Linked DNA regions of Cricetulus griseus. The protein of the gene in region 1 binds, or shares a complex with, the protein of each later gene. Links are inferred from orthologs where the notes say so. Each region holds a gene or a part of one and is shown on either strand. Other genes may lie near its edges. The genes, in order: Hcrtr2 and Hcrt.

Region 1 (3,824 bases):
TACTGTTTCGAGCCCGTTTGGCTGTGCTCTTGAACATCAAAGGGTGACAAATTGCATACCATCGGTCCAAGGCAATGCAGCTCAATGTAAGAACAGACACAGACACTGACACAGTCTAGAGGGGAGAAAGGAACATGGTTCAAGAGAATTGCTGGGTGTCAGAAATATAAAGTGAGAGCATTTATTTGCCTTATCAGCCAAGTAGTTACAGCAGAGCAAAGTGAATTCAGGGTAGCCTACTCTATGTGTTCATGCAAATGACTTTCATGCTAGGAAAATGGATGATGAAAACTAGAAATGCATCAGAAAACTTTTTTATTTCCTCTCAGATGTGAAATAGGTACTTTGAAACTGTTCAGTTTTCTCACATTAAAAGCTCAGCTTATAATTTGTGAATAGTTATTATCTTTACTCTGTTTTATAGCTTTTCTACTGATAGTGTAAATAGTATTCTCAGAGGGAAAGAAATTATACATGGGTGTATTTTCTTTCAATAAAAAAGAATGGCATGACCTGAGTATTTTAAGTTATCGTGTAGGTTTTCACTGGTTGCATTTCATCAGCATAAATAAGTCATGGGTATCTTTTTTCAAATTCTAATAACAATAGGTAATTTGGTCCAATTTATTTTCAATGCATTGCACACAAATAAAGGTCTAGACTATATTAAAAGAGAATTTCTGAACATGAGTATGTGTGCTATAGTTTGCTCACTGACAATTAGTAACTTGGTCTTAAAAACATGTATGTCCTCTCAGTATAGACTTTTATGAGAATAACCATGTAAGTGATTCTTTAGCTTGGAAATGTAAAGAAATAAATGTTTCAACCCTGCTGATTCCTACATAATCGATGTATGGAGCTATCCTTAATAGGGTCAGGGCTAGGGGTTATAGAATTAGAGTTAATTGAGATACAAAACTGCTTAACTCAAGGCTTCTACACAAAAGGAAGAGCCCTGGCATGCTTCTAAGCTTCTAACAAGAGGTGTTGAAGGAGTTACAGGACAAGTACAGTTTGTTTGGAGTCTGTGAATACACATTGGTTTTCTCTTGTGGAGATGGATGAACTGGACACTGTTTATGCAGGATCCAGAATCTCTGTTTGTCCTTTGACTTCTAGAACATGCTTATAAACTGTTTTGGGGTGGGAGTGGGGGAAGGACCAATGCCAGTGACTTTAGGAGCCACCCCTGCCTGCATCCCTTGCTGTTAATGCTGCTTCCTGTCTTTTGTTCTGGCCTCCCTGGAGACTTGGAGGTGCATGGCACAGCAAGCTATGATTGTATCAGAGCCAGAATGCACACTCCTGGCACATGTGATACTTTCTCACTCCGTCATCCTCTCAATCAAAACATCTGGTTCATAAGATAGATACCATGAAGGTTGTCAGGCAACCAAGGATTTGAACAGTTGAAACTACCCTGAAACCAAAGGGAGTAGACATATCCCCTTGGATAATTAGCGGAACTGAGCTTAGAGAAATACAATTTACTGGAAATAACAGGAAGAATATTCAGATGTTAGAATTTTCTTCTGCTTTTGGATTTTTTTCAGTTACTGTGTGCAAATTCAACCATACCTGTATATAAACCCTACCATAGATTCTTACTTAATTGTTTATGATGAGGATGTTCTTCCTTTTATTCATTTTAATATTTCCCCAAATTTTATTACAGTTTATTTTGTAATCCACTGATGGCTCTCAGCATGCTAGCCCACAAACCTTATAATTAAACATTATGTCTGTATGTAGCTTATAATTTCTATGGCATCACCACATATACTATAAATGATGTCAGCTGTTTAAAACATATTATGTCTAAGAGATCATTAAGGAGCTGCTGAATTGAAGTCTCTAACATTTTCTTTCTAAAGAATAAATAAAACTGTTTCTAGCAATGGATTTTTGTGACCTCTTCCAAATTTCTCTTACGTGAGGCCCATTATTTCTTCTGGGAAACATTGTGATCACCACCTAGAATGGTGCAGGGACTAAGGACAAGGGTAGATGGGGACTGTGGGATGATACAGAGGGACCATTGATCTTTTCTTTCACTATATGCTTCCTAGGAGGAACACAGCCTGTGTTTTACTTCACTGTCCACTTCCTAAGGTGAACACAGCTCTTAGGATTGTGTTGCCATGGTCACTAACAGGAATATTTTAATAAAGACTTTACATTCATAAATACAGTCAGAAAATAATTCTTTTGAAAGTACTTGTTCTTTTTTTTAATTTGTCAACAGATACAGAAAGACTGCACTCGCTGTTTACTCACTAGATGTCTCAGTGGTACTGTTGACAAGAGACATCTAGTGATGATACTGGTCATTGACTCTCTTAATGCATTGTTTTAAGTTCATGATGAGGTAATCACAGAGCAAGAATCTCTTGTAAATGATCTAAATAATCTGTCATAACAGCTATATATGAGGTAGATCTTATTAAAATTACCATTTTTAGTGAGTTGCCAAGAGTCTTTGAATACATAGGGTACCATCACTTGATAGGGTACCATCTACAGATGGAAGAACAGACATTCCAAACCCGGAACTGATGTCCCAAGTTGCCCCTCTTTGATCCACATAACTCTTAATTCCTTAGGATGAAAAGAAACCATTTAGACAAAAAACCCTGATATTCTTGATTATTGAAAAACAAATGCTCATGGCTACTTGATCTAGGGGAGGCTAAATCATTACTTTGTTCAATGATTCATCTAGTAATGAAGACTGTGAAATATTAACAGCATTGTTGCCTCGATTTTATCTAGAACTGAACTTGTATATTCAGCAAATCTCAAGTATTATCTTCTTTAAGTGTTTTACTTTCTGAATATTTATACTTATTTCTTAACTAATTAACTAGTTTACCAGATGGTCATGACTATAATAGAAAACATTTAAAATAATTTCTCAAAGGGCCCAAAAAAGAATTACCTGCAAATAAGGAATGACCTTGCAGAGGGACTGTCCAAAGAACCAGGTCTCAGTAATGTCAACAACTAAGGTGGCTGGAAGGCAGGTGATGGTCACAAGCACGTCTGCCAGGGAAAGGTTGACTATGAAGTAGTTGGTGACTGTCCTCATGTGGTGGTTCTTCCACACTGCCACGCAGACTGATAGAGAAAGAAAAAGAGATGGGGAATGAATAAAGACACTAGGTATCAATGAGAAAATTCAAGATAATTAACACTTAAAAAGTCCATATACAGGGCTGAAAAGGAGAGAGTTTAAGGCTGTACTGTCGTCATTCAGTCCATTAATCTCTGGGAATTTTCATCTAAGGTTAAGATGAGCTCATTGACCTGACACTGTATTTCCTATTCATAAGGGCTGTGCTGTTTTTGGGTTGCATGTCAAGTCGAAGGACAGTCTCTGATTGATCTTTCTATTGTTTCAATACTTAGTATGTAGAAAAACATCAAGAAATAGTTGCTGGGATAAGGAGGAGGCAGAGGTAGGCAGAGTTCTGTGAGTTTGAGATTAGCCTAGTTTTAAATAGTGAATTCTGGGGTCATCAAGGCACTGAAGGAAACCCTACAAAATGAAATCCTACCAAAATTTAAAGAAAGAATGAATGAAAGAAAAAAGAGAGATGAAATAGTTGCTGAGGCTGAATTAAGTGAGGAGAATTAGAGTTGTGATTGTCTCATACAAGACCTTGACCCATTTCTTCCTACAAGTCTTCTTGGTGGACACCCAACAGAGGAAAATTTTTAACTATGGGAGAGAAAAACAAACAAACAAATAAAGCAACTTTCTACCATTGAGCTATTATTCAACCCCTACTTGTGCCAAACATCCAAACAGTTGACATATT
Region 2 (3,041 bases), on another chromosome or scaffold:
ACTGCATAAGCCAGGTGTGGTGGAGCACACTTGCAATTTCAACAGCCCTGGGGAGGTAGAGGCAGTAGGATCATTTAAGGTTTAAGGATCATTTAAGTTTAAGGTCATTCTGGTCATTTGAGGACAACCTGGAATACGTAAGACCCAGGTTTGGTTTTTTGTTTTGTTGTGTGTTTTTGTTTTTCGAGACAGGGTTTCTCTGTATAGCTTTGGAGCCTATCCTGGCACTAGCTCTGTAGATCAGGCTGGTTTCGAACTCACAGAGTCTGCTTCTGCTGGGATTAAAGGCGTGGGCCACCACTGGCTGGCCAAGACCCGTTTTTAAAAGAAATAAACCAATAAAGTAGATAGTAGAACAACGCGGGACACATTGGTACCTCACTTCCACTCCCCCACCCCAGGCTTGCACCTCAAGACTCTTCAAGGCTCCTTGCACTGGGTTCTTCCCGACCAAGTATTTAGGACAAAAAACACAAGCTCCTTCTGGAGCCCTAGAGCCTTCACAGTTCTCAAGATGCTTTCCCGCCCCTCCCCGCCCCCTGGAGGCCTGAACTTGACACACGGGAACAAAGAATAGCCACACCAACAGAGACTCGTCTTTATTGCCGTTTTCCTAGAGACTAACACTAGCGAGCAGAGGGGAGAAGATAGGACCAGGACACAGACTGAATACAGGTTCAGACTCCGGACCCGCCCCGGGGCGCTAAAGCAGTGGCGGTTGCGGACAGACAGCGGCGACCAGGGCAGGGATGTGGCTCTAGCTCTGCGCCTGCGCGACGGCCCATGGTCAGGATGCCCGCAGCGTGGTTGCCGTTGGCCTGCAGAAGGCGCTGCAGCCGGCCCTGAAGGCCTGGGGGTCCAGGCCGCCGCTTTCCCAGAGTCAGGATGCCCGCGGCATGGTTGCCAGCGCCGTGCAACAGTTCGTAGAGGCGGCAAGAGCAGGTCTTCTGGCGACAGCAGTCGGGTAGAGGCTGGGCGTCCACCCCAAGCGACAGCAGCGCTGGCGGCAGCAGTAGTAGCAATAGCAGCGTCACGGCGGCCCAGGGAACCTAAAGGGGACAAGAGACAAGGCGCGAATGGGTTTCAGTCCTTACTCAGTCAGCTCCGAACCTCTCCTTGCCTGAGATTGTGCCTGGCTGTCACTGTGTTTCCTGCATCTGGCTCCTTTGTCAACTCATTCTTCAATCCATGGACTAGCCATCTCCTCTAGGAAACCGTCATAGACTTTCACCAGTAGAATAAGTTTGTCCCTTGGAAACATATTTAAAGGCTTACTCCTCCACCTGCAGACAGGTGTGTCTGAGTCTGTCTGAACCAAACATGTAAGCTTAGCAGAAACAAAGAGTTTATTTAGTGTAGTCCTTCCCTCTACACACACAGCAGGACTTTGCCTTTGCTTGGGAAAACTGAACACTGTGGCTATGGACCAGTTTCTTATCCCCTTGGGGCAGCCCCTTCCTCACTACAAAGTAGGCATTGAGCCATCCCTATTACCTGATGTTGTTGAGTGGAAGACATAAACTGACAAGCGAAAAAGCTCTGTAAACATGAGCCTCTAAGAGAATAACTGGCATGACTAGTGTTAACCAAGCAGGCTGCCTGCCTGCCAAGATCCCACCCAGACTCCTGCCTCAGTGCAAGCACTCCAGTGGCCTGCTTTGATGAGGCTCAGCCCTATTCCTAGCTCTTTACCTTAGTAGAAAGAAGATTCATGGTGTCTGGAGTTCAGGGCAGGAGAATCTGGAAAGATGATGTCTTCAGTGCAGAGGTCCAAATACCCAAGAAGACTGATGCCGTGTCGACTGTGGCCTGCTTCCAGGGGCCAGGGGTTTATAGTGCTCTGAGGTGTTGGGGAGGGCAGGGGAGACATGAGCATTTGTGTCCACTTTAAACCAGACAAAGGCATGTCTAAGATTAGCATCTTGCAGTGGAGCCGTCTCCAGGTTGGACCCAAAGAATGGCTGCCCTGTCCTTGGTCCCCCGCTTGTCTGTCTGCCTGTTCCTTGGAGATGGGACGGTCTCCTGGTACTAATGAGGCTACCTTGCACCCAGGAATCTTGAGTTCACAAAAGAGGCAGTGGCTGGGGCACTGGCCAGAGACAATGGGGGAGGGGGTGGTTACTAATTAGGGGCAGAAAAAGTGGCAGCCTGAGAACCGTTGTTCATTGTTCACGGTATGTAGAGGGTGGGGGAGTAGGGAGGATACCTGGGTAGCATTCACCCCCCCCCCCAGCTCCTTGTCACTGACTCTGGGGTCCATCAGTTTCCAGGGCCTTTCCCTCCATGGAAACAGCTCTTGACCGGCCCTCCCCACCCCACAGTTCTCCATTTCCTCTGTCCCTTTCACCAAACTCCTCCATGGAAAGTCTTGGAGACTTACTGTGGGCGATGGATGAGAGAGCAGCCAAGCCTGGTTTCTAGAAGCTGGTGGAGAGCAATGTCTCCTGGGCCACACAAGAAGATATTGAAGTCTTACTCTGCCATCTCCAGGATTGAACCATCATGGAACAGGGCGTGAGGGTGATGGATGTTGGATAAGGGAAACCGACTCATGCCACTTGCAGACCAAGAAAGCTCTCTGTCAAGGCCTCCTTAAGGATCTCTTGATATAGATCAGTTCTGCATGAGCACAGTGACAGCAGTGTGCTTAGAATGTGACCTTATTTTCTTTCTCTTCTTTCCTTCCTTCCTTCCCTCTCTCTCTCTCTCTCTCTCTCTCTCTCTCTCTCTCTCTCTCTCTCTGCTTTTTAAGAGGGGGTTTCTCTGTGTAGCCCCGACTGTCCTGGAACTCACTCTATAAACCAGGCTGGTCTCTAACTCAGAAATCTGCCTGCCTCTGCCTCCCCAGTGCTGAGATTAAGTGCCTGACTGTGACCCCATTTTCTTAGCCTGTATATATGGATATGTACCACATGTGTGCCTGGTACCTGTGAATACCAAAAAAGAAAAAAACAAACACACAAACAAAAAGGTTGTAGATTCCCTGGAAGTGGAGTTATGGATGGTTTTGAGCTTGTACCAAGCCCGTGACTTCTGCAAAA

Evidence for each region.
Region 2: the proteins of Hcrtr2 (region 1) and Hcrt are in contact, whole or in part, in a cryo-EM structure (PDB 7L1U), measured with the Homo sapiens proteins. The link is inferred for Cricetulus griseus from reciprocal best matches to the Homo sapiens genes HCRTR2 and HCRT. Residues at the interface, in NP_001371201.1 of Homo sapiens: Thr111, Val114, Trp120, Pro131, Gln134, Thr135, Val138, Gln187, Val209, Cys210, Asp211, Phe227, Thr231, Ile320, Ser321, Asn324, Lys327, Arg328, Phe333, Ala334, Thr336, Arg339, Val342, Tyr343, Phe346, His350, Tyr354; in NP_001515.1 of Homo sapiens: Asn89, His90, Ala91, Ala92, Gly93, Ile94, Leu95, Thr96, Met97.

Annotation. Positions count from the first base shown.
Region 1 is NC_048597.1:187,448,728-187,452,551, forward strand, and holds part of Hcrtr2 (orexin receptor type 2), read right to left. Parts: intron 3,121-3,824; coding exon 2,942-3,120; intron 116-2,941; coding exon 1-115. UniProt on the Homo sapiens protein: Nonselective, high-affinity receptor for both orexin-A and orexin-B neuropeptides. Triggers an increase in cytoplasmic Ca(2+) levels in response to orexin-A binding.
Region 2 is NC_048600.1:113,801,319-113,804,359, forward strand, and holds Hcrt (orexin), read right to left. Parts: upstream 1,714-3,041; coding exon 1,693-1,713; intron 1,050-1,692; coding exon 678-1,049; downstream 1-677. UniProt on the Homo sapiens protein: Neuropeptides that play a significant role in the regulation of food intake and sleep-wakefulness, possibly by coordinating the complex behavioral and physiologic responses of these complementary homeostatic functions.